Mus musculus: one gene and its partners. The protein of the gene in region 2 interacts with the protein of the main gene of each other region in a pairwise test. Links are inferred from orthologs where the notes say so. Each region holds a gene or a part of one and is shown on either strand. Other genes may lie near its edges.

Region 1 (7,858 bases), on a different chromosome or scaffold from region 2:
CTGAGAGCTATCTGCCCACATAAGGACCAGCCACAGATGCTCAGAACAGTTCTGTGACAGATCAAAACTAGAAATAGCACAAATATCCATGGCTACATACCTAGACTGTGGAATATTAGTCAGCACTGAAAAAAGCCGCAGCACTGATTTGGTAGCTCTCCATATTCATGGATTCTCAAGTCTTTAAATTCAACTAACCATAGGTAGAAGATGTAGTAAGAGCAACTGTTCTAAGGGATTGTTAGGCAGAAGCATGGAATCCTATTTGCCACTGCATAGCCAGGGAATATGCTTAGTGGAAGCTGGTGAGTTAGGCAGCTACAAAGGGGCAGTAGGGGAGACCGTGGGGATGGTAATAGGTTTCCGTATCCTGTGGTGGCAATGGTGGTTCAGGAATCTGCACATGAGAAAACGATACTGAATTGTACACATACTGTAGCAATGCCTAACTTCCTGTTATGATTCTGTACTGGAGTTATATAAATATACAATCGATGGAGAAAACTGGGTAAAAAATAGACGGGATTTCGCAGCTTCTTGAAGATCTGTAACTGTTCCACAATAAGAAATTTTAAAAGGAGATCTGGTGAAAATACACAGCGATTCCACCCTTTTCCTGTCTGAATGCTTTCATCAGTGACTCTGAGAGCTTGATGAGCCGTCCTTAGCACAAGGGCAGACAGCAAGCCCTCTGGCCCGCTCTTGGATACCAGACACACCTGCAGACTTCTGCTCAGCGGCTCCATCTGCCTTAGCTGATGTCCCTGTCCCTTCTACTCTTCAAGGACCTACTTTTCATGCAAGGTTCCTTACTCGGCCTATCCCTTTAAACAGCACCAAGCTCTCCTTCCATTCTGTGTAGAAAGCTCTGCTCCAAGCTCCTCAGTGGTAGAGGCTGTACCTGGCTAATTTCTGAACCCTGGCCCATTGTTCAGCCCAGGCATTGTCAGTTTAAAGCAAAGCTTAGTAAAAGGATAAGTGTGGGAAGGCAGTATGGAAGGTTAAGGTCAGGTCTCAAGCCAGGTTCCTTGTGGAACAGTTACTTATCCAGTGCCAAGCAGCTACCCTCATCTGTAAGACATTGATGAGCACAGAACTTCAGGACGCCTCTAGCTGTGAGTCCGGCTCAGCTGAGAAGGCACCATGGCTTGAGTCCACCCTCAATCTCAGTGGGTGTCACCTAGATTCACCTCGTATGTCTCAGGAGACAGAAACTCTATATCATACTGCAGAGATGGCATCTGTAAAACCCAACCATGGAGACACTCCAGAACCACCAGCTGCTTCTACAAGTGAACTACAAGGAAAACAGAAGAGAAGCAGGAAAAGCAACACACTGAAGACATCTAGCTGAGTGTGGTGCCTTTTGACTATAATTCTAGCACATGGGAAGCTGAAACAGGAGGATTGCCATGGATTTGAGGCCAGCCTGGGCCATTCACTCATAATGAGTATGAAGTCATATCTGAAAGAAAAAAAAACAAACAAACAACCCACAAAACAAACACCATAAAATAAAACATAAAAACAAACAGAGAACTGAAAAGACCAATAATCACAACAAAAACTTGACTCTACTTTCAAGTGATTACAGAAACTGTAAGATACACAAGACACCTAGGAATTTGAGTTTTGACTGGTTACTTGATGCTATGAAAGAATTACTGCTTTTAAAAGTTTAAGAGAGGCCCTGTCTTTTAGGGACATAGACTAAAAAGTTCATGGACAGAACAATGGGATGTCAAGGATCTAAGGTCAGGGATGGAACAAGACTGTCAGAGTTGAAACCTGTAGACACTGATACTAGGCTGTTTATTTTTTTTTAACAAATTTGAAAGTCCCCATCATAAACAACTAACAGACTGCTATTGAAATCAATTCACACAGAGGTCAAGTATAAACCATTAATAATTATTTTTTAATAAAATTGCCACCTTCTTAGCCAGGTGTGAAAGATAACTTTGTATGTAGACAAATATAGCAGCCTACTGACAAGTTTATAGTTTTCTTTTAAGATCAGATTTTTGTTTTATCTTATAAGCTTTTAAAAATTAGTAACTCATTAATAATTACTTTGTTTGGCATTTTGATTTGTACAGAAGGTTAAGACTTATTTTTCCATTTGAAACTGACAAATCCAAGTATACCTTTGACCATTCATAAAGGACACAGCAAAGTATCCGTTAACAAGTAATTATAAAGTCCCGAGACCCTGCAAATTAAAACCTCAGGAAAACCAAAGCTCTCCAGAGATTATGCCCCAAAAACGACAATTATTTTTAACTATGCAGGACTCTTCTGAAAGGGAGGAGAGAAACATTTATAGATTGGCTATTGTTCTTCCAGAACAAATCGAAAACCAAACACAAATAGAGCTGAGAACCTTAGATTGAGGGCAATCTGGGTTCGAGTTCTCACTGGCTGCCTGCGCTGAAGCAAACTGCTGAAGCACTGAGCCTCCGTTTCTTCCTCTGTGGAACCCAGTGTGCCAGCCACACTCAAATGAGTGCCTGGCTGGTATCTGGGGAACAGGGCCTAGCTCCTCTGGCCTCAGGCTACAGTTCCTGCTCCTCCATGCTTCTCCCTCCCACACTGCCTGCTCAGGAGGTTAGCAGTGCTGCATGAGGTCCGCATTTTGGCTTGGCACCAAATAGCTAGTTTTAATTAGCTATTGCCAACACTGACATATCAGAGTCCAGATACAAACTTGGAATCCTGGCTTTTACAAAAATTGCTGAACCAAGTTCTGGAGCTCTGGGGTCTCCAGCACCCCATAAAGCCCCACACTTGCCCTGGAGGGCTGATTCTTGGCTCCAGACTGAGCAGAGTTCCTTGTTGATCTTGCCCTTTCACTTTCTGTCTGTCCCTGCTCAAGGCCCTCCAGCACCCCCACCCCACACCCTCCATTTCTAGGGCACAGACCCTTCACTATAGCTGGTGTCATATCCTGTCCTAGAACTGTGTGCATGCCAGTCTGCTCTATGGGGCTCCTGGACTCTCTGGGGGACGGTACCCTGTTGCTATCTCCTTTGTGTCCCCAGAGCCCAGCAGAAAGCATGACCTAGATAATACAGAATCCAGTAGATAACTCCTGAATGTGTGGAAGGAAGCCAGAGCAAAACTCTTACCAAAACGTATTTTTTTTATCACAAATTGTTCTGACAGCTACTAGAAAGAGATTAAAAACATGAAAATATTTCACAAAGTGAGAATCAGCGTCTGTTTGCTTACAAGTTTCACAAGTTAAAGTCACCAACAAAATGGACAAAGCAGAGATAATAATAGGCAGGGATGGTCTTACTGTTCATTCACTGATCTGACTTTACAGATGAAACAACTACCTGTACTCACCATGCTATACAAAAAGGACGGGGCAATAAATCAGATAGCATCAATCCAGAGTAGGTACTGGATGGAAAATTAAAGAAACTGATGAGCGAGAATGACTAAGCGAGGGAAAAGGGTGGTCAAGCTAGGTAGGCCTCGCCTATAACAAGACACTGAACCACAGGAGGAAGCGATGTGAGAGAAGACAGCTGGGTAAAAATCTTATAGACAACTCTGAACATAGAGAAATCGAAGTGCAAAGGTCCTGAGGTAAATAAATGATTTTGGCATGCCCAAGGCAGGTGAGCTTAGGATAGGAGAGCAGAGATCTGCTTCTGTTAAGAGGGGAAGGAGTGGCGGAGGAGGTGGGCAGGGCCCACTCTGGCTTTGCTGGGCACTGAAGATGAATGACAAGGCTCGGGAGGGGGGGCAGAAGTGGGGGAGGACTCTAAGCGGATGAGGGGGAGTTCCTACGACACTCACATCAGCAAGGGAGCATTTATTTACCCACTCAGATGCTCTCAAATGTGCGCCTTAGGCTTCTCTGCCCTAACGCTTTGAGACAGTTACACTGCCCGTTAACAACCCCGACCAAACCCTAGACATTCTACCATTACTCCCGAGGGGAAAGCAGAGGGCCAGTGAGGGTCGCAGTCACCGCCAAGGTCGCGGGGACCAGAGCTCAGGCTCCAGGGCATGCAGCGGGGTGCAGCGACGTGCCTCACAGCTGGAGGAAAGGCGCCCACAGATCCCTGCGGGCAGGTCTGCTGGGGCCCGGCCAGACAGCCGGCCTGCAGCCCTGGGGCTGCACACACCAGGCGGGAGAGAACGACCGCGGAACCGTGGATAGCCGGGCAGTACCGAGCAGTCCACCCCCTGAGCCCCGCACCCCAGGCCCTGCGTGGCCCGAGCAGCCCCGCCAGGCCTAGCCGCCCGCCCGGCTCACCTCGGCTCCGCGCCGCCGCGCCGGAGGCAGAGGGAGGGCACGCTGGCGGCGATGCGTTCTGGCGGCACCCAGCTCCACGACCTGGACCCGGTCGCCCCGCCCCGCTCTGCTCCGCCCCGTCGCCGTCGCAGTGGGTGTGAGGGGCGCGGGGCGCTGCGACCCTTCCGGTCCGGTTCCCTTCTGCTCCGCTGCTGCCACCGCCGCCGCCGCCGCCGCGGCGCTCAGTCTGACGGATTCTTAGGCCAGCCAATCAGAACTAGGATATCCAGACAGGCGGGACCAATTGAGACTGGGGGTGGGCAAGGCTGGGCAGTACGGGCGTGGCTGGAGGCTGGGTGTGGGCGGGGCCAGTGGCGCGCTCTGGATGCCCTAGTGCAGAGTGGCGCCCCCTAGGCGGCTCGCCGTCTGACCGTCTGCTTGCTGGAAGAGCGTCCGCCAGTGTGCACAGAGTTAGGGATCCAGGTCAAGCTAGGACCGTCTCCTGAGCCCGCCCTCCAGGGCCAGGAGACCCGCATGCGCCGGAGAGGGTGGGCCAAGGGGAGCCAGAGCCGGGGAGGGGCGAGGCGTGACTTTGCGACTACAGTGTAGGAGCCATTGTCAGGCCTCGGTTGTAGCAGGTGCAAATGGAGAGGCGACTTGGAAAAGGACTAAAGACAGCCGGGTTAGACAAGAGTTCTGGGCATGATCAAGGACTTGAAGCCTGGGAACCTGGAGTACAACGGCCCCGGAGGAAGAACCAGGACAAGCCGCGGGGCCTTGGGGTTTGTTTTTCACTAAGGCAGATGCCACACTGAATGGGATCATAACAGGGGTGCGGCCAGATGTCCAGAAGGTGGGGGTTGGGGAGACGGTGACCATGACCCTGATGAGTCAGTGACGGGTATAGCCTAAAGAGGCCTCTTATAAGAGACAAGTTTCTGCTTTGGTGTAGAGGGGTGAGGAGGGTGTCCGTCCAGTGCTGAAGGGCTTCTAGACAGTGGGTCTTTAACACTGCTGCTTTTGTTGACGCTTCTGCAGACCTCTGGCTCTCAAGTAGGTTCCAGAAGGTCTGAGGTGAATCAGATGTTTGGAAAACTCAGAATTTGGGATTCTGACTACTCTGTGTTTTGATAGAGAGGCTGCAAGTGAGACAGGGACGTTGAACACACTGAGGGAAGCTACGAACAGGTTAGGCTGAGGACTGGTCAATAAGGGATTGGAAAAATGGAGACAGTAGTTGACAAGTGGTGTCTATGGTGGTAGAGCTGTAGTCACAAGATGCCAAGGAGGAGCCAGGGAGAAGGACTCTGCGTATAGGAAGATCAAGAGACTAGGAGGCCCCATGAATCTCCGCAGAATTTGAAGAGAGCTGTGACTCTGGTTTCAAGCACTGAACTAGGGTGGTGGAGGCTCAGAGGAGCAGTAGGGTCGAGAAGGGGATCCAGACAATCACAGTGTCTCTGTCCTATTCTGCTTTTATATTGGTGTGACAAGGCACAATGACCAGAAAGCACTTCGGGGAGGAGAGGGTTTATTTTGGATTAGAACTCTGAGGTCACACTCCATCGTTAAAGGAAGTAGGAAACTCAAGGCAGGAACCAAAGCAGAGGAAGTGGGGGAACGCAGCTCACTAGGTCAGGGATGGAACTGCCTCCAGTGTGCTAGGCCCTCCCACATCAATCATTTGTGAAGAAAATGTCCCCACAAACTTTATTACAGACCAATCTTAGGGAGGCATTGTCTCAGTTAAAAGTCTCTCTTCCCAGATAGGACTAAATCGAGTTGACCAAGCCCAACTAGCAGAGTCCTCCTTTGGCCACCCCCATGCTGGCCACCAGGGGGAGTATGGTTTATTCCTGCTCAAAATTCTCCTAGTTCCTGAGTGTGCTGCTTTGAGAAAGGTTCTTTTTGTGAGCTTCTGTCCACACCTGTCCTCACCTCGGCTCTTCCCGTCACTGCTTTAGAAGCTCCAAAGAAAACAGAGCCAGCAGTTGGCATTATTAAAAACCAGCACAGCCTGGCTACCATTGTTGCAGTTTCCCTGAAGAACACTAATGAGTGCTTCCCCTCAGATTAGAATCCCTAGACATCCAAGACTGGTGTTATAGCCAACTCAATGCAAAGTAAGTAACCACAAATCATCATGGGTATGTTTACCCAGTAAGTTTCCCATTCAGATTCTGTTTTTTTCTACAGACGCTGCTCTTTGTTCTTTTTTTTTTCAAAATAATGGTGAACATACTGAGGTGAAATGACAGGGTGGGGTGGAATGGCGGGAGTCCGTGCTTTGAATGAGTGCACAGAATCCTGGGCGAAGCCTCTAAGTGCAAAGATCCCGCCAACAGTGTGTTGTGTCGTGGGCTCCATACATGGACACTGACGCCTGGTCACAGTGGCCGGGCTGGGAGGAACAGTGGAAGAACTTTTGGCAGAAGGAAGTTCTTACCGAGGCTGGAAAACAAAGCAAAGGGCTGGGTCTGAGACTTTGAAACACATTTGGGCCAAGTGCTCAGAAGGAGGAGGGACTCAGAACGGGGAGGGGCATGTGTGCTGTGTCCACAGAACCACAGCCACCTGTACTGGCAGGAGTGGTAGGTAAGGAGATTGGAGTGATGCGGCCTTTGGGGACAGAGTGGCGTTGGTGACCATGGGCTGATGGGCACATAGGCCGCCTTGTTTATTGCTCTGCCTTATTTAGACAAATGGGTAAATGGTTGCTTTTGTGCCACCTCTTCATCATTTAAAACTGAAAGGGATTCCAAAACAAAAGCAACAACTCCATTGTTGGGTTCTCTTCACAAAGGGCTGTGGTCCTGAGAAACTGGGTGGAAGATACCCCTACAGGTAAAGCCCCAGTTTTCCTTCACCCTATTCTTCCTGTGGCCCTTACCTATCTGTCTTTGCAGCATGATAGGCTGGAAATCTGGCTGTAAGGTAAAGGGCAGCCGTTACGGGTGGTAAGCAAGGAGCTAAGTGATGTGATTCAACGTGCATTTTAGAAAGCTCACTAAGACTTGTAAGATTTGAAGAATGGCGGGCTAAGACGACAAGACCAGTTGAGAGCTACAGCAAAGGCCATTTTGAGAAACTGAAGCATGGGTTGGGGCTATCTATGGTAGCAGGTGCCAAGAGGAAAGAATTGATTTTTAAATTGCTTCAAGACTGTAGGGGGATATAAATCAATCTGCAATGAGCTATCACTACATAACCAGTAGGAATCATGCACTAAAACTTAATATCAAGTGTTGACGGTGACATGAAGCAGGTGGAACTCATGCTCGGCTGGTGGGTATATTTTGCAAAATAGTACAGCAATTTTGGATTGAGCTGAAAGTCCACTGTACATACCACGCAAGCATCAGGAGGCATGAGTCCTGGGCTTGGGGTGCTAGGATAACAAGAATTTGTCAGAGGCCTGCTTCTATGCAAGCTCTTCCTTGGTCTGTGTTCCAATTGAATTCTACTTATCAGCAATACTCCCTTGGGCAAGGGATTAGCTCCTCTGGGCCTAATTCTGTAGGAAGTAGTAAAGACAGCAATTCTTGCCTGTTGGGGATGCTGCTCTGTCTCCCTGTTCTCCGTTTCTACTCTTTTCAAACATTTCTT
Region 2 (7,188 bases):
GTAGAAAGTGAGAAGACTGTGGGTCCTGCAAAGTCACAGAACACAAGACTGTCCACGGGGCTTAGAATTGTTCTGTTATATAAAGTCAGTATTAACACTGCCAGCCGCAGAGACAATATTCTTTGTCAGTCCACCTCAAACTCACTATGCTGCCAAGAATGGCCTTGAATGCCCGCTCTCCTGCCTCTCCCTCCCAAGGGCTATGACCACCTTGCACCATCCTTGGCTTGGAGGCATTGCCCTAACTAACGCTACTTAGTCTGTCAGCAGAACTATTTAGGCTTCATTTTTCCCCATCTATAAAATGGGAAAGTTAGCCAATTAGGAACCCCCCCCCCAATTCAGCTCTGGGTTTTTCGATCTCCGAGAGCCGTGTGTGCACACTGTGTCCTGAGATGTGAGGAAGTCCTTGTAGCCCGAGAGTCACGGCACAGTCTGAGGACACCCAGATTCATATAGGCTGTACCCAGTCCCCAGAGCCAGACTCGGGCCTAGGCTAAGGAGCAGGAGAGAGGGATAGAGATGGAGGAGAGGAGGCGCTCCAGCCAGTGGAGAAGAAATCAGAGGAGGGGAGAGAAAAGCAAGTCCTTAAGTCTCGCCTCCTCAATGAGAAGATGCAGCTAAAGGCCAAGCAAGCAGGTGGGACGAGCAGGGGTTCTGGGACAGCTGGACTTACCCGCCCCGGGACACCACCAGTTTCACCTTGACTTTGTAGGAAACGATGATGCCCAGGATTTCACGGTTGGCACCTTCCCGCAACCTGCAGGAAGACGGGGAAGCTGGACCTTGGGGCTCCTTGGTGGGCGGAATGTGGTAGGCATTGGCATATGTTGGGAGGCACCACTGTCCATCCATCTCCTGAGCCTCCAGGTCCAACAGTTAGGAAAGGGAGCTGAGCCCAGTGCACTGGCACTTGTAGGCCTGGATTCTGTTTATGTCCCTCTTTGTGGTACTGGAGATTAAATCCACAGTCTCATGCCTGATGGGCAAGCGCTCTACCACTGAGCTATGACCCTAGTTCCTTGGGTTCCACATCTAGCGATAAGATGTCCTTGTTCTGTAGCCCTAGTGGACTCTCCTCCCTGCCTCACCAGTGCCACACAGTGCCGTGAGAACAGGCCCTAACCGCCCTCCCACCACTTACTTCTCTCACACTGCTTATGCTCGGTAACCCACAAGCAGAAAGAGCCACACTGAGAGCTGAGAAGCCAAGGGTAGCTGGGAGTCAGGGTAACATGGGAAGGATATGCTAAGTAGATACCTGGTGGTGGGGTGTTGAGGGCAGATCAGGTACAAGTCAGAGTAAAAGGAGGACAAAGAGCTTGTTGGTAAATGGGAGGCCTATGAGGGGTGATAATGTGATTGTCTAGCCTGAGCCAAGTCTGAGAGTGGGGAGCGTGGTCTCGGAATCAACAGACAAAGACCAAATCCCTTGCAGAGAGCCAGATATCATCAGAGGGAATGAAAGTCCCCCCACAACTGTCTGAACTCTTCTAGGGTGGGACAACCCTGAAGGCTCAGTGATGCCCATGGACCAAATGGCCTAATGGTGCCTCATGTGGAAGGACCCCCATATCTATACCCAGTTCCCCTCTTTTCCCCAGCCTCTCCAAGCCCCCATTTATCTCCTTCCAGTACTCTTCTAGAAGCGATTCTCTCCCCTCCAACCCTGACAGCATCAGGGACACACCCCAGTCTGTATTCAGGACTTTGGGCTAAGAGCTGCCAATTCTTAAAGAAAGCTTTTCTGGTTGTGTCCCCCAGAGGCAAATGATGGGACCCGGTAGTCTTTGGCTGGGTGGGTAGGAGTAGAAAGAGATCCTCCCTGGGTAGCCACACTCCAGGGGACTGGCCCTAGTCAAGACTTGGGCAAGAGCCTAAACCTCATCCTCATGGTGGTGGGCCAAGAGGGTGGGGCCCCGTCGTGGAGAGGGCACCGGGGGGCCTGGGACTCACAGCATCTGGGTCTTAGGGGCGGGCTCTCACTCATAGCATCTGGGTCTTAGGGGCGGGCTCTCACTCACAGCGTGCTGGAAGCCAGATTCGTGTCCTCATGCTTGAGCTTCCCGTCGAGGGCGAGTCCCCGCTTCTCTCGGTTGTTGGCCAGGAAGGGAGTCAGCGTATAGACCTTGCAGAATGTTGAGCTGGGTGCCACATTGTCACTGGGAAGTAGAGAGGCAGCATGAAGATGACTCTTATCACAGCCAGCCCTAACCCAGCCAAGACGCCTGGACTGGCCCTGTTCCACAACGCCCTCTGCCAGCAACCCTTATCTCCCAGATGCAGGCAACCACTTGGGCTGAGCCCAGCTCAAGCAGCAAGCCCACTGCCATGGGAAAGAGGAGAGGCCCACCACACACAAGCAGGACTAATCCTAAACTAGGCATGGTCACCATGCACACTTAAATAGCACACTTTTAAAAAAGATTATTTATTTTATGTATATGAGTACACTGTCCCTATCTTCAGACATACAAGAAAAGGGCATTGGATCCCATTCCATGGTCATGAGTCACCATGTGGTTGCTGGGAACTGAAATCAGGACCTCTGGAAGAGCAGTCGGTGTTCTTAACCACTGAGCCATCTCTCTAGCCCACACATTTATTTTTAGTTTTTATTTAATGATTAAGTTTTTAATTTGTGTGTGTGTGTGTGTGTGTGTGTGTGTGCCTCCATGACTGTCTGTGCACCACTCACATGCAAGTGCCCTCATTGGCCAGAAGAGCGCATCATATCCCCTAGAACTAGACTTACAAGCTGCTGTGAGCAGCCTGGTGTGGGTACTGGAAAATGAACCCTGGTCCTTTGGAGGAAGAACAGCACGTGCTCCTAACTGCTCAGCCATCTCTCCAGCCCACGTTTATGTTCAAAAGTGGGCATACAAACCATGAGTAAATGCCTGGAAGCCCCCACCTAGGTTCTACCATTGAAACTTTACTTGCTGCAATGTGTATCTATCAGTCATGCACAGGAACCTCTGTTGTTCCCTTTGGCTGGTGCTATTTTATCCCCCATCTCCCTTCTCAAAGATGAGGCAGATGCGTGCACCTGACACTGGGACAGTCCTGGAATAAGACCTAAATTTGCCTCTTGAAGGGAGCAGAGCCGGCCACATCTCAACCCCAAGCCCAACCCCACAGGAATGCTTACTGGAAGCCCAGGCAGCTACCCTTTCTCCAGACTGCAGATGCAAATATGTGACAGACTATGGCTATGACTATGTTCCACTTGGGGTTAAATGCTCTCCTGGCTCTGGGTCATTCAACGTACCCCCCAACACTCACCAGAAGTCTATGTCTCATGGCTGTAGGTTTTATTCTTAATCAACAGTGAATTTGAGAATATCCAATAATGCAAGAATATTTGGTTTAGTAATAACAGCTCCATCTCTAGAATATTAGAAACCATGTCAAAGTGGCAGGTGCAGTTGCTCACACCTATAACGTCAGCGCTTGGAAGGCTAAAGTAGAAGGATTGCCCTGATTCCAAGTAAGCTCAGGCTCTGAGTTTCAGGCCAGCCTGGTCTCAAAGTGAGACCTGGACTCAAAGACCGAAACAGAAGCCAGTGAGGCTACTCAGCACATAAAGGCACATGCCACATGAGTCCTACCCCAGGACATCTCTCTGCAGGTTGAGAAGAGATGCCTGGGCCTGGACTCAGAGCTCCCCTTTGTCCTGTCTAGTCCCACCTGTCCAAAGTCGGCTTCAGACACACTTACTCAGCCTCCTCCATGGCCACTGGGCACTTGTACTGAGCTGTGTTGAAGAGACAGATGTCTGCATACTGGCGCACTGGGGAAAGAGGGAGCAGGGGAGGTGGGTACATGAGTCAGGGGGTACCTCTCAAGATAGCCCTCAAGTTCCCTGTAGTAGGTGTGCTTGCTTAGATTGAGACAACGACCAGCATTTATCAGAGGCCACCACCCCAGACTCCACCCACACAGAAAACCCCATCAAAACCCAGTCCCTTCCATGACCAAATCTTTCCTCCCAGAACAGCTTGTCCAGGGCCCAGAAAGCCTATGAAGGGGCATGCAAAGCGGTAAACCCACTGCCCCAAGTGCCTACAGCTTTGAAGCCACTGTAGGCTGACAGCAGACCCAAGCTTCCAAAGCTACTAATGGTATCATCTCAGGCTTTTAACAAAGGCCACACCTGCAGCTATCCCAACCCTCGGTAGGATCCCCAGCTACCCGAGATCTTGATCTTCTTCACAGTCTTGTTGGTGTTGTTGGTGACGTGGACATTAACGCTGATGGGTTCTCCGTGGTAATAGATCTGTGAGGCAGATGACAGGAGAGCATGGACAGGGACACTGAACTCTGCCCCCAGCTCACCAGCCACTTCCCACTGAGATAAAAGTGTCACAAAACTACCAAGCATATGGACCTTCAGTACCACTGTGGGACCTTTCAAAGATATCTGTATTAGAAGATGACATTCCTGAACTCGGGGGACTGCTCTGCCAGTCAAGTACTTGTGTTGCAAACACGAGGACCTGAGTTTGATCTTGTAATCCCAGCACTAGGGAGGCAGAGACAAGAGGATCCCTGAGGCTCGGTGCCCACAGAGTCTAGCCGAGTTAGTAAGCTCCAGGCCAATGAGAGACTGCCTCAAAGGAGGGGGATGGCACTCCTGAGAATAATACCTCCAAGGCTGTCCTCCAGATGTACACACACACCCACCCACCCATGCACACTCACACATACACACATAGGAAAATGAAGCTGACATCTTCGGCTCCAGTCTCATTCTGACCACCAGCTAAGACAGCAATAATAGCAATGATGGTGACAACCATTGCATAACCTTGGACAGGTTAAGTGAGATGCTGTTTCTCCTTTATCCTATGTGCAGGCTTGAACAGAGTAAGGTCTCAAGTTCCTGTGGGCTCTGATGGTCTGGGTTCACAGACACATTAAACTCTAGAAGACTCAGAGAAAGAGAGGAAAGGCTAACCAGCTACTGGAGGACCTGCTCGGAATTCTCAGGGACCACCTTGTCCAGGCTCTTGTCTTTAGCTACCCCAAGAAGGAGGGACATACCCATACCCCAGTCAGCTGGCTCAGAGTCACCTGACTTCAAGAACTTTTCACCTTCTAGCTCACTGATAAGGGTAATAGCAAGGAGACCCTGAGTCCTGTTCCCCATCACCACCCTGCTGATTAGCTGGGGTTCTCCCTCCAGTTTGAAACAGGCAATTATAAGAGTGTAAGGAGGAATGGCCAGGACCCTTCCATTGCTCCTGTTCCATAGGTGCACATGCCCACCTCTGCCAGTCCTTTGGACCCCAACAGGATTCCCCAAACCCTCAAGGACAGTCCAGAGACACTGGGACCTGAGGGATAGTAGAGCTGAGGACAGTGGTGTCTGGGCCTCTTACCTCCTTATCCAGTGATGCCTCAAGGTGTAGGGGCTTGTCTGACATAAGGAACTGTCTGGTAGTCTCAGCCGTGGGCTGAGGGCCAGGTCTCTCAGGGGCATACTGAACCTTCCGGATGACTAGCCGCACAGAGTTCCTAAGGAAGATGCATGGGGAGAAAGACAGAGTCACCAGCCTCCACTCTCTTCTCTGTAATACCTAGACCCCTCTCCTGTTCAAGAGTCTACTGTAGCTCCCCATTGCCCACTGATCACAGAGGTTGAGCAGGAGGGTTTGTCACCATGTGACTCAGCCCCAGCCTCCTCAATTCTGTCCCTGAGCCACCCGACAACAGCACTTCATTTGGGTCTGCGTGTCCCAGTCCCCAGCATGATGGTAAGAAAGGGCCTATTTTTTACTTTGTGTTCCCCGTGTCTCCTAATAGTGTAAGCCGCTGGAGGATGGGAACTTCTTGCCCAGCTGGTTCACTACCACGGTCTCAGCACACGGGCCAGTACCTGCTGCCTGGCAGCCTTATCTGCTATGTGGAAGCATGCAGAACTGACAGGCCCTTGTGGGAGGTGGAGGTGGGGGGGTCATTATGGGATGTTGATTCAGCCAAGAGGTGCAGGAGAGTGAAGAGGTGACTCAGTGAGACTCACAAGTGAGAGGGGTTCAGTGGAGGTCACAAGGCTTAGGGTAGAAGCAAAGACGGACTGAGCTGGTGAGTATGACCTGGGGAAATTACCTCCCTGTGCATCAGTTTTCTCATTTGTGAAACAATGACAACAGCACTTAGCCCTCAGGACCCCGGGGAAGGTTAAACCACATCTGTCCATTACTGTGAACATGACCGGAACTAACTAAGCCTTTGAGAACTGACAGCTATTGTATCATTATGACTAGTGAATCTTGGGAGTAGACTTAAGATGCCCCATTGGGAGAGGGTGAGGGTGGTGACTCTCAGTGTTTCCTGCTGTTCATTATTCTGCTCAAAATCCCTCTCATATCCCATAACGCCATTAGGTCTCCTTTGTCACAGATCTTAAGGGGACAGACACAAGAGAGAAGAGTCTTTCTTGTCTCCCCCATACAAGAACAACCACACAACAGATGAAAATGCTTGTGATACTCCTAGTCGCCACCAGGTGGCAAAGTCATCCCTAAAGAGCTGGTGAGCACCCCTCAGCGGCTGACTTAGGATGCAAGGGCATCATAGCCAGGTGAAGGCCAGGAGGCAGGAGGTCTGAATCCCAGGACCCCCAGGAAGGGCAGCCATGAGAAGTCAGGACCAGAAGCTTTGTCCCCCCTGTCTGCCAAGCACTATGGGAAAATGTTGGCTCTCTGAGCCATGCTGAGCACACTCTGAGCCACACTGAGTCCCCTCTATGTTCACCTTCCTCCACTTCTGTCCCCTGTTCAGATCTGTCCACAAACACAGGCTTCACTCCTGCTGAGGGCCTCCCAACTACCCACTGTTGAAAGTTAACTGAAGTTGGGGGTCTTTCTAATATCAACAGGCTGCAGGGGTAAGGCAGAGAGAGGTAGGGATGTGAGAGAAGCCTGGCTCACCTCCTCCAGGAAGCTCGCCATCACCTGACAGACTTCTAGACCCTTCTCACAGCAAAGCCTCTCCTCACTGCGACTCCTTCGACTCCCCTCATTGTCCTTCCTCCCTTCTCCCACCAGTATCCTGCCTACCTTTTGTGGATCTTCTCCTCCAGGTTCTCAGCACAGAAGGCTTTGACTTCATAATCCACACCACAGGCCTGTGGAGAAGGACATGCTGACCCCATGGCATTGGGGAGGCAAGGTCCCCAACCAC
Region 3 (7,942 bases), on a different chromosome or scaffold from region 2:
CTCTCCTGCGAGCCTCTTTCTCAGTGTTTGCCAGGGCCAGGGCTGCTGCTCCCTGTATCATCTTCTTTGATGAACTGGATTCCTTAGCTCCAAGCCGCGGACGGAGTGGAGATTCTGGAGGGGTGATGGACAGGTCAGGGGTTCTGGAGTCTGGGGAGGGATGTGAGATATGTGTGTGTGTGTATGTGTGTGTGTGTGTATATGCACACACATATACATATGTATATATGCGTATATGTATATATGTCTGTGTATATATCTTGAGTCACATCAGTCTCCAGCCCAGGCCTCTAAGACAGAGGTTCCTGCCCTTCTAGTTCAGAGCTAGAAGGGAAGCTAAAAAGGAGTGGGGAACTTTGAGGAGGCTCACCAGTGTGGCAGGGACATGGGGCAGAGCTTAGCAAGGGACCTTGCTGAAGCAGTCTTCAAGAGAAGCGCAGCTGGCCTGAGGGCACAGCAAGGACTCTGCAACCTTTGCCGCCTTCCTCCCGTACAGAGTTGTGTCTCAGCTCCTAGCCGAGCTGGATGGGCTCCACAGCACCCAGGATGTGTTTGTGATCGGAGCCACCAACAGACCAGACCTCCTGGACCCTGCCCTTCTGCGGCCTGGCAGGTGGGGACCCTGGACCTCTCCCCTCCACAAGGCTCCTTTGCGCCTTAACCTCTATCCTGGGCATCCTTCACCTCTCATGGTTGGCAGCCCTAACACTTCCTGTCTCTGTCTCTCTGAAGATTTGACAAGCTGGTGTTTGTAGGGGCGAGTGAGGACCGGGCCTCCCAGCTGCGTGTGCTGAGCGCCATCACACGGAAGTATGCGTAGTCGGAGAGCTGGGGTGGGGGCTTAGACAGTTAGGGGATGTGTGCGAGTCAGCATGACTTCTGAGGGAGGAGGTGAGGCCAGCTTTAACATCCCTGGTGTGGGTGTGATAGGTTCAAGCTGGAGGCCTCTGTGAGCCTGGCAAACGTGCTGGATTGCTGCCCACCCCAGCTGACTGGTGCAGATCTCTATTCTCTCTGCTCTGACGCCATGATGACTGCCCTCAAACGCAGGGTTCGAGACCTAGAGGAAGGTGAGCCCACCTGCCAGCCCTGGATGGGAACCATAAAGCTAGGGAGACAGTCCTGGCCCTGAATTCCAGAGGAATGGCTGAGCAGGGGGTGTCGTCGTCGTCGTCCCGTCCCGTCCCCCCCCCCCCCCCCCGGGAGTGGCTCTCCTACCTAGGCATAGACTGCAGCCTCTGTACTTCAGCTAGGGCTGGGGCTCTGGCCTTAGTCTTCCTTTCCACCCCTTAGGGCTAGAGCTGCGGAGCTCAGCACTGCTGCTCACCATGGAGGACCTGTTGCAGGCTGCAGCCCGGCTGCAGCCCTCAGTCAGTGAGCAGGAGCTGTTGCGATACAAGCGCATCCAACGCAAGTTTGCCGCCTGCTAGGAGCTGCCTGCCTGCCCTCTGCCTATGCCCCCTGACTGAAGGTACCTCCCGCCTGTCGCCTGAAGGCTGCCTCCTCCCAGAGATCCCTTGTGAGCCCTAGTGGGGGCCCCTAGTGCTCAGGAGGAGAGGCAGGGCTGGCAGCTAGGGGCTTGGCAGCCTGTGACCTGTGCGGAGACACTAGTTCTGGAGTAGAAAATAAAGTGTATACTGCCTCCTACTGGTCTTGTGAGAGGTTGCGGTGCAAAAGGCAAGGTTATGGGAGGCTGAGGTCTTGAGGGGGGATTGGGGGGGGGAACACCATAAAAACACGTTACTTCTGAAGAAACACCAGGCACAGGCTTGGAGAATGCAGACTGTATTGTTTACTCCGTTTGCCCGACCCCCACATCTGCACCCAAATGCAATATCTGCATTAGGGGATGGTCTTAGGGTAGGGGCCATTGCCTGAGCATGGGCTTCTGGGAGCCGGAGAAACTCAGTCTGTCTTCTTGAGCACATGGATGAAGTAGCAGGGAACGTAGGCCTGGCCAGGCTTGTAGGGCTTGAAGTCACCCAGGACGCTGTGCTGGCACCTGCCCCCAAAGGCTGCTCGCACCAACTCCGTGAAAGACGCCAAACAGTGTGGGTAGTAAGAGAGCCGGAACTTACTGCAACAGGGCCCCCAGCCAGATATGAGGGCTGCTGGCCTCAGGTCTCCCCACCACCACCACCTCTCTCCTGCCAAACCACGTCATACCTGAAGCCAGGAGAGCCATCTCTGCCAGTGCCTGGCACCTGCACTGTGTAGTCCAGGGTTACCATGTGGGCTTTGTTGTTGACTGTCAGTACTGACGTCGTAATGTCCTTGGTCAGGTCACTCTGAGGGCATGGGTTGCGTCATTCCCTGAGCCACCACGGGGCTTCTGGCCCTCCAGCTCCCGCTTCCCATTGGGGGGCAGCCCAACCTTATAGTAGATGTTCTTCCCCGGGGGCGCACAGCCTGTGCTGAGGATATAGTCGTAGTTGCGGTGGTCGATCACCAGCAGGCCCCCGGGCCGCACCATGCTTGCAATGTTCTTTAGTGCCAGCCGGTGCTCGCTCTGGTCACCTGGGTTCCCGGCAGGGCCACAGACACCATCTGCTTAGGCCTCCAGCACCACCTCCCGCCCCTGTCTCCCTCCCAAGTGCCAGCACTAAAGAAGACAGGCAAAATGCAGGTCTGCCTTATCAGGGCAGCAGGCCAGCCATCTTCGGACGTGGGGGAGCTCAAGGCAAGAGCCACAGCCAAGGCCACCAGCTTACCTTTGCAGTCTGGCAAGTGAGCAAAACTGTTCCCAAGGCAGATGACAGCATCAAAGCCATCTCCTGAAAGCACATCTTTGTCCAGCGTCAACCAGTTGGCTTCTTCAATGACTGGAGGCCAGGGCAGGGGTTGGGGGGGGAGTCGAGAATTATAGCACAGCACAGAAGCAACCACCTCCTCCCAGAGACACATGGGGACTCATTAGGGATGGAGAGAGCCACAGTTGGCAAAGCCAGCCCTCCACTTAGGGGCTTTTGTAGGGAGGAGAGACAGGATGTGATAAGACAGTTAAAAGTAGCTCTGTAGGGCCCAGTGACTTGACGTACACCTCTAGACTCTGTTAGACAGGAGCATCACTTAAATCTAGCTTAGCCAAGCCAGGCAACACGGGAAAAGCATAAAAACCGCTGGTAATGCAGCCCAGTGATCAAGGGTCTACTTGGCATGCCCAAGTTCAATGCCTAGCACCATAAATACAACAAACTTGCTCTTACCAGCCGGAATCCTACTCTGATGCCAAAGCCTTCCTTTTTAGGAAGTTGACAGGGACTGTACCGTGCCCTGAGGAAAAACCATTCAGCTCCACAGCAAGAGAGAGCCAGGGCAGAGAGTGACCCTGGAGGTGCATGTCTGGGGGGGCCTGGACAGACAGACTTACCCCAATTGTCAAAGGATGGCTCTTTCCTCCGGTTCCAGCGCTCCTTAAGCGCATATTTCAGCATCTTGTCGCTGGCGTCCACGCTCATCACGCTGAAGCCCTCTTCCACCAGCATGATGGAGTCCACTCTGGATGAGGTCAGAAACGGGGGACTAGAGGACCAGTCAGAGGAGCCTGGGAGGCCAAATGTGTGTGACATTTCCCCAGACATAACATTCCAGAGTCCGTTCCTCTGCTTCCTGTCCCAGGCCATCTCTACTGGTCTCAAGTGACCCATTAAGAATTTTCCTGGGGGCTGGTGAGATGGCTCAGTGGGTAAGAGCACCCGACTGCTCTTCTGAAGGTCCAGAGTTCAAATCCCAGCAACCACATGGTGGCTCACAACCATCCGTAACAAGATCTGACTCCCTCTTCTGGTGTCTGAAGACAGCTACAGTGTACTTACATATAATAATAAATAAATCTTAAAAAAAAAAAAAAAAGAATTTTCCTTATCAAGTAGCAAAAAAATTTTTTGAGAGTTTTTTTTTTTTTGTTTTTTGTTTTTTTTTTAGCCTGGTTTAAACAGTGAGTTCCAAGACAGCTGGGGCTACAAAGAGAGACTCTGTTTCAAAAAAATTTTTTTTCAAAATTTAATTTCATGTGTCGTGCCTGAATATGTGCATCATGTGCATACCTTGTGTCTGCAGACCCCAGAGAGGGTGCTGGGCACCAAATTTGGGTCCTCTGTAAGAACATGTGCCATCTCCCCAGCTGCCTCTTATTAGAAACAGGGTCTCCTAATGTAGCCCTGCAGGGCCTGGAACTCACAGAGAGCCACCTATTTAGGACTCCCTGAGTGCTGGGATTAAATATATGTGCCACTACTCCTGACATCAACACATTTTTTTTTATTTTTAATTATGTCTGTATGTGTAGTACATGTGAGTACAGTGCCCTCCACGGCCAGAAGGGAGCGCTAACCTCCCCCTGGAACGGAATTCCAGGCGATTATGAGCCACCTGATGCAGATGCTAGGCACTGAGAGCCTGTCTTCTGCCAGAGCCTAAGGGGCTCTTAGTAGTCGGACCATCTCACCGGCTCAATGGCTTTTTGTTGTTGTTTTTGTTTTTAAATCATAGTCAGGCATTCTACAAAAGTGCACTTGAGAACCTGGCATACTGGTGCTCCTGGAAATATCTCAGTCAGAGGTGTCCGTGAGTTCTGGGCTGAGTCGGGAGTGTGGGCCAGACACTATCCTGGTCTGTATCCTCTCCACCAAATGGGGGCCTTTTACCTCTTGGAAATGACTTTTTCTTTAGTACTACTGGTTGGAGAAAAGCGCTGCTCACCTCGTGGGGTTTTGTTACAGCTTGCAACACACGTACCCAAACTCCTGGCACAGCACTTGGCTGTGCAAACGTGCTACAAATGTTCTGTTCACACTGCCAGAGGCCAATCGCAGGAGGAACAGCGCCGGAGCCAAGGATCCACCTTGACCCAAAGCTCGGATTTTGCTCTGTCCCATGAATCCTTCTCTGCGCACACCCTGGCCCCTTCCCGCACTGTTTCGGCAGATGCTCTCCCATGCCCATACTACCCTGATGAGCAAGGGCTCTTGACCCCCTAGTACTGCCTGCCAGGCTCCAGCCCGCAGAGGCTGCCCAGACTGGCCTAAGCAGGCCGGCCCGTTTGGACTCACCCTGTGCCACAGGCTACGTCCAGCACCCTGTGGCACCCGTGCTGGCGCAACAGCCCAAGCAACCACGCCTTGTACTCTGCGGTACGGCTGCGGGTGTCCCCGATGTACAGCTGCCACACACGTGCGGCCTCCCCATCTGCATACTGGTCCGGGAGCCCTTCGGCCGCCACCCCCAGGGAGCGGGTACGGTACACGCTGTCCACCATCCTGACCGGCGCCTGGCTCTCAGGCCACGCGATCCGCACTTATAATCCTCTGGCAAGGCAGTCCCACCTGGCCAATGGCAGGTGAGAGCAGGGACACGCCCCTGCTGGGCCCTGGGCCCAGAGCCAGGCTTGCTGCCTCTGCCTTGAGGATGGCTCAGCACAGCAATCCTGGACCTGGCTTAGTAAGACAGGTCAGATAGGACTCGCCAGGGTGGCCGGGAGGAACTCACAAAGTAAAGCAATGAGAGATCACTCCACCCCTACCCAAGGAGGAAGGGGAAGAAGCCTGAAATCCACCCAAAACAGAATTATTACATGCCCAGCCCAGCACAGTGTCTACACAACACTGCTTATCATTTAGTGGAGGGAACACTCCGCTAAAGAGAGCCACTGTGTCGGGACATTATGAACAGTCTTTGAGAAAGATGCCCATCCAAGTACAAGAGTACACCTGGAGATAGGCGTGTCTCTCTTCCCCTCCCCCATACCAGCCAGGAGCCTCCTAAGGTAGCCTGGGCCTTCCAATCCATGGGCTTTATACTCTGCAATCTCTTAAAGGCTGGGTGTAGTAAGGTGAGACAGGAGGATTATTAGTGCTCAATGAATTAGTGAACAATGTGGGAGACATAGCAAGCCTTCCATCTGCTTTCCATGGGAGCACCTTCAGAGAGGAAAGTTGGGGGTCGGCAGGGAAGGTGCTCATGGCGCCCGCTCGGGCTAGCGTCACTGTATAACCTGAGGGTCCGTTTCGTGTTACCCGCTCACCCTTTTTACCCCACCAAGGACAAGATCCCAGCCGGGCTAAAGTCGGCTCTGGAAGATGCGTGTGAGCGACGAGAAGCCTGCCCCGCCTGCCCTGCCTGCCCACACACTTCCAACTCTGTGAACACTCGTTACGTGGAAAGAAGAGAGAAGACAGGGAGCATCCCGCCCGCCCGCCCGCCCGCCCTCCCTTCGCCTTCCCAATGCAGGGTGAACCCTGGAGATGGAAGGAGGCCCACAGTTGTGTGACTTAACCTTCTTATAGTAGGTATGGCTGTTTTGACTTCATAGATGTCAGTATGTGTCTGACGCCCGTGGAGCCCAGAATCGAGAGCTTCAGATACCCTGAACCTGCAGTTGTAGACAGTGGGGAGCCACTCGGTGGTGCTGAGGACACTGAACCCCACAGAGGACCAAGTGGTTTGTTTGGTTTGGTTTGGTTTTTGTGAGAAAGGGTTTCTCTGGCTGTCCTAGAATTCACTCTGTAAACCAGGCTGGCCTCGAACTCAGAGATCCGACTGCCTCTGCCTCCCAAGGGCTAGGGCTAAAAGCGTGCGCTACGACCCTAGCTGCAGATAGGGCTTTTAATGGCTGACCTATCTCTCCAGCCCATATTTTTTAACTTTTGTTAGCACAGCGCCAATCTCAAATGGTTCTGACCAGGCTCAGTCTTGGGGACTCAATGTCCCTACACACAGGCCTCTGACACTATGCTCAGAAAGATTCTCGAGGCTGAGTGTGATGGTGTGTGCCTGTAAGTCCTATACTTGGCAGCTGAGAACAGAAAAGCTGGAGTTCAAAGATATTCTAGGGTACATAGACTTCAAGGCAAATCTGGGCTACATCAGTCCCTGTGGAGACAAAGCAGAGAGGAGAAACTGTATTTGGGAATTTCAAGTAAATCCAATGCCACGTATCAAAGCATTTTGGGGGTAAACCTATCAATCCTAGACTTTTTTCAAATCTCATCTCAGCATCTTAAGTGGTATCTTTTATTTACTTAGGGTTTTTAAAACTGGGGAACCAGGCATGGTGGTGCATTTTGTTTGTTTGTTTGTTTTTTGAGACAAGGTTTCTCTGTATAGTCTTGGCTGGCCTTGAACTCACAGAGATCCAACTGTCTCTGCCTCCTGAGTTGCCGGGATTACAGACAAAGCGCCACCATCTAGCTAAATGTATGTCTTTAATGTCAGCACTCAGGAGGCAGAGGCAGTTGGATCTCTGTGAGTTCCTGGACAGCCAGGGCAATGTAGAAACCTTGACTCAAAAAGCAACAACAACAGGACACCCAAGACTATACAGGGAAACCCTGTCTCAAAAAACAAACAAACAAACAAACAAAGCCCCAAGGGAATGGTGAGATGGCTCAGTGGTTAAGAGCGCTGACTGCTCTTCCTAAGGTCCTGAGTTCAAATCCCAGCAACCACATGGTGGCTCACAACATAATGAAATCTGATGCCCTCTTCTGGAGTGTCTGAAGATAGCTACAGTGTATTTACATATAATAAATAAATAAATAAATAACCCCCCCAAGCAATAACAACAACAAAAAATGTATGTTCAGAAAAAAGCACACAGCACGCAAGACTCCCTTCTCTCCTCCCATATTGGTTCCAGAAACCACACTCAGGTCATAGGCTTGGCAGCAAGCTCCTTTGCCGTTTGAGCCATCTTGCTGACCCGTGATTCTCAACCTTTCTAATGCTGTGATACTTCATGATACGGTTCTTCCTGTCGCAGTGACCCCCAACCATAAAACTATCCCCTTGCTACTTCAAACCTGTAACTTTGCTCCTGTTATGAATCATAATGTAAATATCTGATATGCAGGATTTTGACACGTGACCTCAAAGGGTTGAGAGGCACTGTCTAGACAGTCTTATTATGTAGCTCTGGCCGTCCTGGTACTACTATAAGGTTTAG

The links.
Region 1: the proteins of Arrb1 (region 2) and Mapk9 interact in binary tests that used the Homo sapiens proteins (3 or more experiments, as listed by UniProt). The link is inferred for Mus musculus from reciprocal best matches to the Homo sapiens genes ARRB1 and MAPK9.
Region 3: the proteins of Arrb1 (region 2) and Gnmt interact in binary tests that used the Homo sapiens proteins (3 or more experiments, as listed by UniProt). The link is inferred for Mus musculus from reciprocal best matches to the Homo sapiens genes ARRB1 and GNMT.

Annotation. Positions count from the first base shown.
Region 1 is NC_000077.6:49,843,391-49,851,248, reverse strand, and holds the start of Mapk9 (mitogen-activated protein kinase 9), read right to left. Parts: upstream 4,499-7,858; 5' UTR 4,274-4,498; intron 1-4,273. UniProt on the Homo sapiens protein: Serine/threonine-protein kinase involved in various processes such as cell proliferation, differentiation, migration, transformation and programmed cell death.
Region 2 is NC_000073.6:99,589,595-99,596,782, reverse strand, and holds part of Arrb1 (beta-arrestin-1), read right to left. Parts: intron 7,133-7,188; coding exon 7,065-7,132; intron 5,521-7,064; coding exon 5,385-5,520; intron 4,280-5,384; coding exon 4,195-4,279; intron 3,794-4,194; coding exon 3,721-3,793; intron 2,163-3,720; coding exon 2,025-2,162; intron 761-2,024; coding exon 677-760; intron 1-676. UniProt on the Homo sapiens protein: Functions in regulating agonist-mediated G-protein coupled receptor (GPCR) signaling by mediating both receptor desensitization and resensitization processes.
Region 3 is NC_000083.6:46,723,895-46,731,836, forward strand, and holds Gnmt (glycine N-methyltransferase), read right to left. Parts: upstream 5,272-7,942; 5' UTR 5,258-5,271; coding exon 5,052-5,257; intron 3,499-5,051; coding exon 3,371-3,498; intron 2,823-3,370; coding exon 2,712-2,822; intron 2,518-2,711; coding exon 2,375-2,517; intron 2,289-2,374; coding exon 2,167-2,288; intron 2,078-2,166; coding exon 1,906-2,077; 3' UTR 1,770-1,905; downstream 1-1,769. Other genes in the region: Pex6 (peroxisome assembly factor 2), read left to right, coding at 25-133, 497-613, 733-810, 931-1,070, 1,294-1,430. UniProt on the Homo sapiens protein: Catalyzes the methylation of glycine by using S-adenosylmethionine (AdoMet) to form N-methylglycine (sarcosine) with the concomitant production of S-adenosylhomocysteine (AdoHcy), a reaction regulated by the binding of 5-methyltetrahydrofolate.